Notamacropus eugenii: one gene and its partners. The protein of the gene in region 2 interacts with the protein of the main gene of each other region in a biochemical or structural test. Links are inferred from orthologs where the notes say so. Each region holds a gene or a part of one and is shown on either strand. Other genes may lie near its edges.

Region 1 (3,749 bases), about 120 Mb from region 2:
CAACCCCACGGACAACAGTCCGAATGAGCAGCAGACGGTGGGCACGGGTTAGGTAGCTGCCCTGTGCCAGGCGCTGGGAATACAAAGAAAGGGCGACGGCGGAGAAACAGGGCTAGAAAGTGGCGCCGGCCACCCCCCGATCACTGAGGTCTACAGGGTGCGCACAGCGTGCCAGGGGCTTCACACTTACTGTCTCCTCGGGCTTTTTTTGGACATTTATAACTATTTTCAATTCAACACGCGAGAAATAAGCGCCAAACGCAAGCTCCCGCAATGCGGCTTTGTGGGAGCTGCGCTGGATGGTCTGGGGAAGTCATAGGTCGTGGCTGAAGCAGGGCTGCGGTGATCTCCCGCGGTCAGTCACTGTCCCGCAGGGGGCGCTGCCACCGATGGGCACTGCCCCGGGCAGCGTCGTCCTTAGGTCCGGGACAGGAGGAAGTCCCCGTACGGGCGGAGGGCCATCACTTCCGGCCGGGCTCTCCGCTCTCGGCCGTTTTCTCCGTTTCCAAGTTCTCTTCGCTCCGGTCGCGCGGCGTTGTCCTGGCTCCGGAGCGGAGAGAACCCCAGGCTTCTGCTGGCAGACATTTGAACCCCCTGCTGTGCGCTCCCCAGTCCCGGCCCCACGGTCCCACCCTCTCCCCAACGCTCGGACTTCCAGGCCCCGGCGCGCCCTCGGGGAGCTAGGAAGGCAGTGTCTGCGGAGCCGGCCGGCTGGAGGCCCCGGCGCGCGCTCGGGACGCGGCCGCTCACCCCCCGACCGAGAGGCCTCCCGGCGCTGGAGCGAGACGTTCGCTCTCCTCACCCCCCAACCCCTCTTTGGGGCTCGGCCCGCGGCCAGCACGCGCTTTTGGGGGTGGGGGGGGCGGGGAGAGGCGGAGGGAACGATGAGCTGCCTCTCATTAGGGACGGGCGGCATTGTTATGCCCATTTTACAGACGAGGAAACAGAGGCAGACGGAGGTTAAGCGACTTGCCCAGGGTCACACCTCTAGTAATTGCCTGAGGCCCGCTCTGAACTCAGGTCTCCCCAAATACAGAGAAGCAGGAGGTCGCCTTAAAAGGGGAACGCACTGGCACGGGGATGGAGGGTGGGGGAGGGGGAGAGCTGGGCCGGCTACTGGAAAGACCATGTGGAGGAGGAGGGGCACCAAAGAAAGCTTAGGGGCTCTCATGGGTAGAGGTTGAAAGGGAAGCCATTCCAGGACTGGGGGACGGCTGGGACAAAGAAGTGGAGACTGGAGATGGCACTCCATGTGTGACAAACGGCAAGCCCTGCCCTGTGGGCGGACCGGACAGGGATGTCATCGTGTGTTCAAAACAAAGTGAAACCTGGAAAGGATCCCCAGACCCTTTCAGGAGATCCATCATGTCAACATTATTTTAATAACGATCTAAGACATTTCTTATTTCTACTACGATACTCTTAGAGATCTTGTTGTTCAGTCGAGTCTGACTCTTGGTGGCCCCATTTGGTTTTTTTCTTGGCAGAGATAATAAAGTGGCTGGCCATCTCCTTCTTTAGCTCATTTTTACAGATAAGGGAACTGAGGCAAACTGAAGTGACTTGACCAGGGTCAGACAACTGTCTGGGGCTGGATTTGAACTCACAAAGGGGAGTCTTCCACTTCCACTTCCACACCTGACTGCCCCCACCAATGAGAGAGAATCCAGGTAAACAAAATCTCTTCATAATTTACATAATTATAATTTATATAATCACATATTACATATATAATCTTATTGTATATGTAGTATATAGTGTATATTTACACATTATAAGTTTACATATATACATACCCATAATTTTACACACAATTTATATATAATATAAATATATAAAAATATGATTGTGTATTAAAATGTATTATATATAACCATATAGAAATCTTGCATAATTTATATATAATTTTGTTATATATGATTCATGATCTGAAATAATTTTGTATCTATAAATCATGCATTTTATATAATTACATAATTTATCGTCTATTGTACACAGCTAACTTACACAAATTATATCTAATATAGTAAATATCTAATATGGTATATATTGTATCTAATATAGTATGTTATAATTTGTACACATACTTAGGTATATTTTATATATTATACGTATCTTTGTTGTACTTAATTTATACCTAATTAAAATTATGTATCATAATGATTACAATTTAATAGTTTTTAATAGTACCAAGGGGTCCTGAGACCAAAAAATCTGAAACTATCTCGAAGATTCTTTATAGCTCTAAATCCTAAGATTGCTAAAATGAGAAGGTTGGACTAGATGGTTTATAAGTCCCCTCTAACTCTACAGACCTACAGTCCTATTATTCTAACGTTTGGGAGTTAACCGGCACTCGAGACCTCTGCAACTTGTGTTTTCGTGGGAGATTCCTAGCAAGCTATGTTTTATTCTTCCAAACCTTGCCTGAAAAATGAAGCTCACGAGACTTTAAGAAAACATTTTAAAGAAAAAAAAACCAGTGAAATAACAAATATTCCCTTACAAATACATGAACTAGAAAACAAAATTTTGATATAACTTCTCCAGAATTCATTTATCAAATGACCTAAAGTAGGTGACGTGGCATTTAAGGCACCTTGTTAATTACTAAATTAAAGTAAAAAACAAAACCAGGCGAAAAATGAAAGTGAACTTAGAATCTTCTAGGGGAGACGGGAAGAGATGGCATGAAACCGAACACCAGCGAAGTCGAACTGACGCATGCGCACCACAAGGAGCGGGGGAGCATGGGCAGGGAGCAGGCCCGGGGAGACTTCGAGGCTGCCCGCAGGTGTTCTTTCCCTCGTGCTAGCAGGTCCCGGGACCATTCAGCGCCTCCTGCCTTGCGCCTGCGCGATGCGCTGCGAGCGCTTCGCCGCCTCCTCCGGCCCCTCCCGCCACCTTCTTTAAACCTCCCGCCTCCCCTTACGGGGGGTGACGGGGTCGGTCTAATTCCGGTCCGCACATTCCGCACCGACCCCCAGCCTGGAGGTCCGCCCCGCCCCGCCCGGGTCACCGGGCGACGTGAGCGACAGCGAGAGAGGCGCGTCGCGGCATCTCGGGGGCGGGGCCGAGGGCCGTCCAGCGTCTTCCCCTCCCGCCTCCCCGTGTCGAATCTGCGGCGGCCGTTGGGCCGTTAGCGCAGTTTGGGCGGTTGTCTTGGAGAAACAAAATGGCTGCTGCGACGGCGGCCGCAGCGGCGGTGGTGGCGGCGGCGGCGGAGGAGGATACGGAGCTGAGAGACCTGCTGGTGCAGACGCTGGAGAACAGCGGGGTCCTCAATAGGATTAAGGTGAGGCGGCCGGGCCGGGGCTGGGCGAGGGCTGCCTCGCCGGGGCCTTGGCGCCCCAGTTCGCGCGGCCCCCGAGCTGGAGCTCCGCTCCTGGGATCCCTCGGAGCCTGGGGCCCTGTGGAGGAGACAGCCGCGGGCCGGGACCGCCGGCGGGGAGCCGTGTGTGGGGAGCGGGGCCGGGGGTCACCGGGCGCTGGGGGTCACCGGGGGCGGGGTCCTGAGCTCATAATGGAGGAGCTTCCACCGCCCCCTTGGTCCTTAGCCCTCGCTCCCTGCTGCAGACCCTCCCCCCGCCGCCCCCTTCCTCTTTCCGGAGAAGCTGGGGCCGGGGTCACCCTTGGGTAGAAGGCCGCCGTCGGCCCGGCTCCCTGCTCGCCCCACGGGGTTCTGCAGGTGACTCCGCTCTCGGGGAGGAGCGGGGTTGTGGGGGGCAGATCCGGTGAGCTATTAAGGG
Region 2 (3,749 bases):
GGAAGTCACAGAATTAACTCCAGAAAATCTATTGTTTTCCTCTTTTATAAAATGGGGAGTCCAGATACAGCTCTGCATCATGGACTCCCAGAGAAAAAAGGAAAGTGAAGAGGAATCAGAGGAGAAAGTTCCTTGAAATGAAATGTGCCATGGGAAAATCTCCCATAATTATAATGGGCATGATATCATACTTACGATTATGTCACATACACAGTACATCTAGCTCTGGGCAAAGCTGTTGAAGCCAGAGTTTATCTTCAGGTCACACCCCCTATCCCCACCGTCCCCAGTTAGGACCCTCTTCAAAGATGCCCAGTGTCCTTCTGGGGCTGTTTCCCTCTCGCTTTCCACACTTGCTTAACCTCTATGAACTCAGTTTTTTGCCTCAGTGGGCTTATTATGTAGAAAATAGTCTGCAAACTTTATAACACCGTAGAAATTAGTTGTTGCTGCTATGACTGTTATTCTTCACCCCACTCCACCCCTACAAGGAAGAAAGAAAGAAAGAAAGAAAGGAAGAAAGAAAGAAAGAAGGAAAGAAAGAAAAAAAGAAAGAAAAGAAGAAGAAAAGCCTGGCTCTCAGGAAATGTGGTGACATATTTAGCTATGAGTAAATGTCTAGTTAAGGCTTAACATCTTACTCTTAGAAATATCAGGCAAGGAAGAAAGTCTTTAAGTCAGAGGTGTAATGTTGAAATATTTGGAGAGGAGATAGTTTCTCCCTCCCCCCCCCTCCCCGCCACCCCCTCCCGGGTCTTTCCCTGAGGTCCTAAAGAGGATCTTCCACCTGAAGGTATGTTGTCAAACCTGGCATTCTGTTCTCTCCTCCACACACATACAGCCATGCACTGACTTTTCATGGGACACACACCAGGGACACCCAAATCCATGCACATACAACACGTGGGGGCCGTAACAAATAAAAGACTTGTGCCCAAATGGTCACATCACTTGCACCCGTAGTGGGGTGGAGGGTCGGCACCTCCAGAGTAACACCAGGATGGATGGGGAAAGAAGTAACGCCATTTCACAGGTGGCAAACCAGAGAGCCCTGACCAGAGCCCCAGAGCTCGGAGAGGCTGCGGTGGAGCCTGGCTCTCCCAGCTCGGCCTGGATCGCTCAGGCTCAGCCCGCTTTGTTGCCCCAGGACACAGAGCGAGCTAGAATGCGGCCGAAGCGCTCCGGTGGGAGGGAGAGGCCGGGAGCGAAGAGCAGCCGAAAGCCTGACTTGGGGTGGAGTGCGGTGGAGAGGGCCTCCCCCCTCCTCTAGGATGACGGAGATTGGGGAAGGAAGGTGGGGCCGCGGAAGGCCCGCCCGCCAGTCAGGAGGGGTGAGGATAGGAGCCCCAAGGCCTGGGGCTCAGACTATAAGAGTAGCTGGACAGTGACCCATCTCATCCTTAGGCGCCCACTTTTCGTCTTCGCTTTTTTTCTGCCTTCGGTGAGTACTTTCTCTCCCATCGGAACTCTGCCCAGCCCTCCTCCCTTGATGTCCTGGTCTCTCCCTGCCCAGCACGTACCCTATCCTGTCCTCTCGTCGTCCTCTGGGGTAGTCACTGGATTTCAATCCCTCCCTAGTTCGGTCCCTTTGTACTCCAGTGGCTGCTGAGATCTCCCGGGTTGTGGGGTCACATCTCTTTGGGGATAGCTGCCCTGCCTATTGATGCTTCAAGGGCACGGTCGGAGCAGGGGATAGGGTGCCAGGTGTTGGGATGGGCTAGAATTACTCCTGACACTCACTGGATGGGTCAGGACATTCTTCAGGTAAATCCTCGTGTGTAACTTTCTAGTTATGTGTAAGGGTGTGTCTTGCTGGATGAGGAGTGTGTGCTGCGGTGTTACTGTGGGTGTGATTATGATTGCAATGTAATGGTAGAGGAAGGAATAGGACCCTTGGGAGTCAGGAAATCTAGATTTGAGACCTCACTCTACCACTAATTGTGTGACCTTGGAGGAGTTACTGCAGTTTCTCAGTCTGTAAAATGTCAGAATTAGACCCAATGATCTTTAAAGGAAATCTCTAAGGGAAAAATCCCTTTGAGCTTTGATAATCTGGGAGTCTTAAAAGTGTGTGATTCTGTCTGGGTACAGGAAATTGATAGAAGTGTGTGTGGGTAGGCTGTGAATTTGAAATTTCCCAGGTCTGATTCCTTTCTCTTGGACTCACCTAGAACCTGGTCCTGTGGTCAAATCCACACTCCCACTTACTAAGTCCAGGATGAAGGAGCCCAGACTCTTCTCCCTGTCCACCCAATCTGACTTAGGCTCCTGAAAATCTCACCTACCTCCACTATGCCCAGCCCTACTGAATTCTCACCTTCATGACTTTCAACTCCAGAATTGTGGTTTAAAGGTTTGTGTCCTGGGACCGGAAGAAAAAGGCCCATCCCCTTGGCCTGGGTCCTGAGGAACAACAACTCTTTGGTTCCTTCTCCCTCCCCCACCTATTCATCTCTTCCTTTGTGGTTCTCAGCTCCCTCCCGTCTACCTGGCAGCTATGGCCTCCGTGCTGAATGAAGCGATTTGTGCCCTGATCGGCATCTTCCACAAATATTCAAGCAGGGAGGGTAATAAGAACACTCTGAGCAAGAAGGAGCTGAAGGATTTGATCCAGAATGAACTCGGCCTAGGATCTGTTAGTATCTCCCAGCTGGAGGGCAGAACTTTTCTTTTCTTTGCTCCCCTTTCCCTTATAATTGACTAGTCCTGCCTCTGCCCCACCTGGTCTTTTCTCCTTCAGGAACCCATTTAGGGTGGGGTGGGGCTGGGTGGAGGTGGAAGTGTGTGTGTGTGGCGATTACACTTTGTCCTCATTTGTTTCCTGGAGGGGGAGGGAGGAAGATGGAGGATGGGAGAGTAGGTTCTGGAGAATTGAAAGTGGTGGACAATGAATCCCCAGTGCTCTCAGTCATTCCAGATATACCTAAATCTGAGATCCCTGTTCTTTATTTTCTCAGTTAAGAAGTAGTAGGATAAGGGACAAAGTAAAAGAAAGAGCCTGGGATTTAAAAAAAAAAACAAGAAATGGATGGAATGGGGAATGTCCCGGATGAGAGAGCAGAATAAAGCCATGCTACAACTGGGAGCAATGTCTCCTGTTTCGAAGGCTGTGAGGGTGAGGGTGGGGGTGGGGGTTAAGTTGGGGGTAGTAGTGGAGGGAGGCTAACAGTGGAAGGGAAAAGGAGATCCCTTTAATAGATTTTGGATTTCCCACTCTGCCATATTAGAAAATGGAAGATGCAGATATTGCAGAACTGATGAACGGTCTGGACCAGAACCAAGATCAGGAAGTGAACTTCCAGGAGTATATCTCCTTCCTGGGAGCCTTGGCCATGGTCTACAATGAACTACTGAAGGGAGAATAAATAGACTTTGGAGAGGGAAACTTGGGGGGGGGGTGTGCTCCCCCTGCAGCCCCTTGATGGCCTGCCACAGCAATGGGTACATGGTGGGTGTTTTGTATATGAAATAAAGTCTGGAACTGTGTTTTGGTCTCTATGATTCTTGATTCCTCACTTGGTTGCAGTTTGTTTTCTAGTCTCTTTACCTTTAACTCTGTATTCCTTCCTTTTTTTTGTTTTTTGTTTTGAGGCAATAGGGTTAAGCGACTTGCCCAGGGTCACATAGCCAGTAAGTGTCTGAGGTCACATTTGAACTCTTGACTCCAGGGCTGGTGTTCTATCCATTGTACCATCTAACTTACCCCTTCCCCTGCTCCTTTTGAATTCTACCCATTTTTCTTGGCTTCT
Region 3 (3,749 bases), about 94 Mb from region 2:
CTTATTTTACTATGCTGTAACTACGTACCAAAATTTTTGGTTGGAGATCTGACTTTTCTATACCTCAGGATTTTTCTATACTGAAAAATGTTGTTCCTGTGGTATCAGCAAATCTATGATGTCTTTGAGTGCACTTAATACAACGTGACACCAGTGCTACTCTTTGGAAGTCAATGATGTACTTTAATGGCTTCAACAGCAATGGCATCACTCATATGGTGTTGCTGCTCATAGAACAAACATTTCTTTAAGTACGTGAAGCAAAGCAGATTTAACTAACACCCCTACCATTCCAGTTCTCTTTCTACTAACTCAACTTTACTGGGATATTTCCTAAAACTCAATGCATTTAGCTCTGTTTGGGGGAGCAGATGCAGAGATGATTAAAAAATTCTTAATGTTTACTTTGTATTTTATGGAAACTCCCAGAGACGTGTCTATCTTTGCCCTCCCCTAACTCCTTTCTAGTCTAGCTGTACTACCAGGAGCCTGAGATTTAGAGGAAAAAAAATTGGGGGGAAAGGGAGGAAATGAGGGAAGAGGAAGAGAGAGGGGAAAGGCTACAAATGATTCTCCACCCACCAAAATCCCATTTTTGAATAATTAATGGATGACTATAAGGCATTTTAAAAAAAAGTAAATTAAAAAATAATATATGTTTCTGTTTTCTTTCACACATAATAGCCTAAGTATGAGTTATCTCAGTTTAAGAGTCTACCTTGATGGTAGAACAAGTATTTTAATGGAATTCCTGGCTTAAAAAAAAAAATGTGTCTAACAGCAAAAAGCACTCAATGATTTGTATGTGGACAGCTGCTAAAATAAAGACTGAGGCTCAAGCAGACAGAATGGTACTTGAATCATGACCACTTAAAAATGCCTTATTTAAAATATTTTTAAAAATACATAATCAAAGCACAGCAAAGAAATTTATACAATTGTTTTTTCTAACTTAGCTGCACAAATGCATTGGCATAATGGTATTCATATCTAGCTTGATATAAAACAGAAAAGGATATTTTAGTTCAAAGCTACCATTTCTATCACAATATTTTTATGGAAAATAAAATTGAGACTGTACTGAAACATTTACAATAAAAAAAATGAGTCTTTTATTCTCCTATAGTATTCAGCTAGAATGAACACAAAAATTTACCAATTTTCCTAAACAGACAAATATTTTGCCTTTTGAAGAGTATCTTAATAAAAATCAAAATTTTGACACTTTTTTTAAATGACTGATTTCTTATCAAAAGCCATCACAGCAAGGATGCTTGTAGAAGTCATTCACACAGTGCACAAAATTGTAGCTGTGGCCAGCATCTCAAAATTCCATGGTAGAGGAAGCATTATATAGTATGATATTGGAAGAATGTAATCGGTATATATCCTTTCCCAAATAGCAGCACTGTCAGGCCCTCCATATCTAGTTTTCATTCTTAAATAATCTTTTAAAGCCACTTCCCCCAGGCAACCTCCTATAATTCTGTCCCTAATGGTTTTCTAGCTCACAAATGTTATGTGAACACGTACATATCCTCTTATTGTACCCTCCTCTCCAATCTGAGATCTTCTCATACTTTATTAAAAAACCCAAACTAACAGAGCTATGCAACACAGACTCCCTTCTCCTCATCATACAACCCCCTGTTATCATCCCTTACAATTTCTTCCTGATGCAGATTCCCTTTCTCATCAAGGCCAACCCCTCTCCATCTTCTCTAGCACAGTACTTCCACTATCATCCCTACCTCTAAGACCTTCACTTTCTCCTCCCTCTTATAAGTTCCTTCTCTCCTGCTACAAACATATGCAAGTCTCCCCTATGCTGGGCAGAAACTCCCAATTAATCCTACCATGCCCAGTTAACTATTATCCTGTATTTCTCCCCCACTTTTTCTGTCAAAATCCTTGAAAATACCAACTATTTCCTGGCTCCATTTCCTTTCCTCTTACTTTCTTCTTGACTGCCCGCAAAATGGCTTCCAACCTCACTCAACTGCAATTGTTCTCTCCAAAGTGACTAATGATCTACTAATCACCACATCTATTGGCAAATAACCAAACGTAATGGCCTCTTTTCAATCCTCATCCTCCTTGGCCTCGCTGCAGCACTGGATCATTAACTACCTTCTTCTGAATGCCTTTTCCCTTCTTTGTTTCTGTGACACTTTTCTCTCCTGGTTCTCCTCTCATCTGACTGCTCCTTTTCCAGTCAAGTCAGTCAACGCGGTAACAAACGCTGTGGTTACAGAGAATGACAAAACATCACCTGCTCTCAAGGAACTCAGTTTAAAGGGAAAAACAACATGCAAACATTACATACAAACCACAAACATGCACACTCCCCAGGGTAACATGGAGATAATCAACAGAGCAGATAATCAACAGAAACCACCAGCATTAAAGGGGATCAAAAAATGCTTCTTGTAGAAGATGGAATTTGAGTTGGAACTTTAGGAAAGCCCAGCAGACATGAGGAGGGGGAGAATACCAGTATGAGAATGCTCAAAATTGGAAGATGGATTAACTTGTGGGATGAATACCAAGAAGGTCAGTGTCACCAGGCAGAATATGAAAGGCTTTGAAGGCCAAGTAGAGGAGGTGATCCTGGAAGTGACAGGGAGCCGCTGGAGTTTGCTGAAGGAGGGTCATGGTGGTAGGAGATGTAGACAATGTCAGACTCCTGCTTTTGGAAGGTTATTCTGACAGCTAGGTGAAGGACAGACTGGAGTGGGGAGGCCTGTGGCAAGGAGACTAAAGAAGAGGCTATTGCAATGTACAGGCAGGAGATGATAGGGGCCTGCATCAGGGTGAGGGCAAAGCCAAGAGGGAAGAAGGAATACACAAAAGATGTTATAAAGCTAACAGACTGAATATGCAGGGATCTAGGATGACACGTAGGTTATCAGTTTAGGTGACTGATAAGTAGTATTCTACACAGTAATAAGGAAGTTCAAGAAAGGGAAGTGTTTGGAGAAATGCAATGGGTTTAATTGAGTTTAATATGTTTATGGGACATCCAGTTCAAAATGCATAAGTCAGTCAACTGGTATTTATTAAGTACCTACTATATGCCAAGAACAGAGATAAGAGACGGGTACAAAAAGGGGCTCTCAGCCTAATGAGGGAGACAATATGTAAAAAACAAGATATACACAGAGTAAACTGAAGACACATGGCTGTGGTCAGCAGGGGGCTGGACAAGTTGATATGAGAATCAGCAGAGACGACAATTAAATCCATAGAAGCTAATGGGATCACCAAATAAAATAGTTTGGAGGAAGAAAAGAGAATCAGTCTCAAGTTATCAGATGAGGCCTGAATGAAGACTGAGGAGGAGATAAGTAGGAGAACTAGGAAAGTGTCACAAAACTAGAGAAAATAAAGCATCAAGAAGATTATCAACAGTGTAGGAAAAGAGGTCAAGAAAGATGAGGATTGAGACGAGGCTATTACATTTTGGAAAGACCAGTTTCAGTTGAATGAGGTCAGAAGTCAAAATTATAGCGTTAAGAGAATGAGAAAAAAGGAAAGGAGACACACTGATGGTGGAGAGTCTTCTCTAGGAGTCTGGCGGGAAAAGGGAAGAACAGATAGGCTATAATGGCAGGTGGGGATGTGTAAACCTAGTGAGAGCTTTTTAAGGCAGTAGGAAAGCAGTTAGTACACGGACAACAGAAAGATGGAGGGATAAAAAGAAGAGGGGCAGAACAGGGGAGAGGTGAAGAAAGAATGGGATAACTGCG

What was found.
Region 1: the proteins of S100A6 (region 2) and CEP43 form a complex in vitro, tested with the Homo sapiens proteins (2 studies listed by BioGRID and IntAct, with this or other methods). The link is inferred for Notamacropus eugenii from reciprocal best matches to the Homo sapiens genes S100A6 and CEP43.
Region 3: the proteins of S100A6 (region 2) and CACYBP are reported together in a solved structure, tested with the Homo sapiens proteins (2 studies listed by BioGRID and IntAct, with this or other methods). The link is inferred for Notamacropus eugenii from reciprocal best matches to the Homo sapiens genes S100A6 and CACYBP.

What each region holds. Positions count from the first base shown.
Region 1 is NC_092873.1:262,045,739-262,049,487, forward strand, and holds the start of CEP43 (centrosomal protein 43), read left to right. Parts: upstream 1-1,583; 5' UTR 1,584-1,670; intron 1,671-2,313; 5' UTR 2,314-3,175; coding exon 3,176-3,295; intron 3,296-3,749. UniProt on the Homo sapiens protein: Required for anchoring microtubules to the centrosomes. Required for ciliation.
Region 2 is NC_092873.1:377,509,433-377,513,181, reverse strand, and holds S100A6 (protein S100-A6), read left to right. Parts: upstream 1-1,274; 5' UTR 1,275-1,441; intron 1,442-2,473; 5' UTR 2,474-2,497; coding exon 2,498-2,635; intron 2,636-3,227; coding exon 3,228-3,365; 3' UTR 3,366-3,486; downstream 3,487-3,749. UniProt on the Homo sapiens protein: May function as calcium sensor and modulator, contributing to cellular calcium signaling.
Region 3 is NC_092873.1:471,566,827-471,570,575, forward strand, and holds the start of CACYBP (calcyclin-binding protein), read right to left. Parts: upstream 2,212-3,749; 5' UTR 2,197-2,211; coding exon 2,131-2,196; intron 1-2,130. UniProt on the Homo sapiens protein: May be involved in calcium-dependent ubiquitination and subsequent proteasomal degradation of target proteins. Probably serves as a molecular bridge in ubiquitin E3 complexes. Participates in the ubiquitin-mediated degradation of beta-catenin (CTNNB1).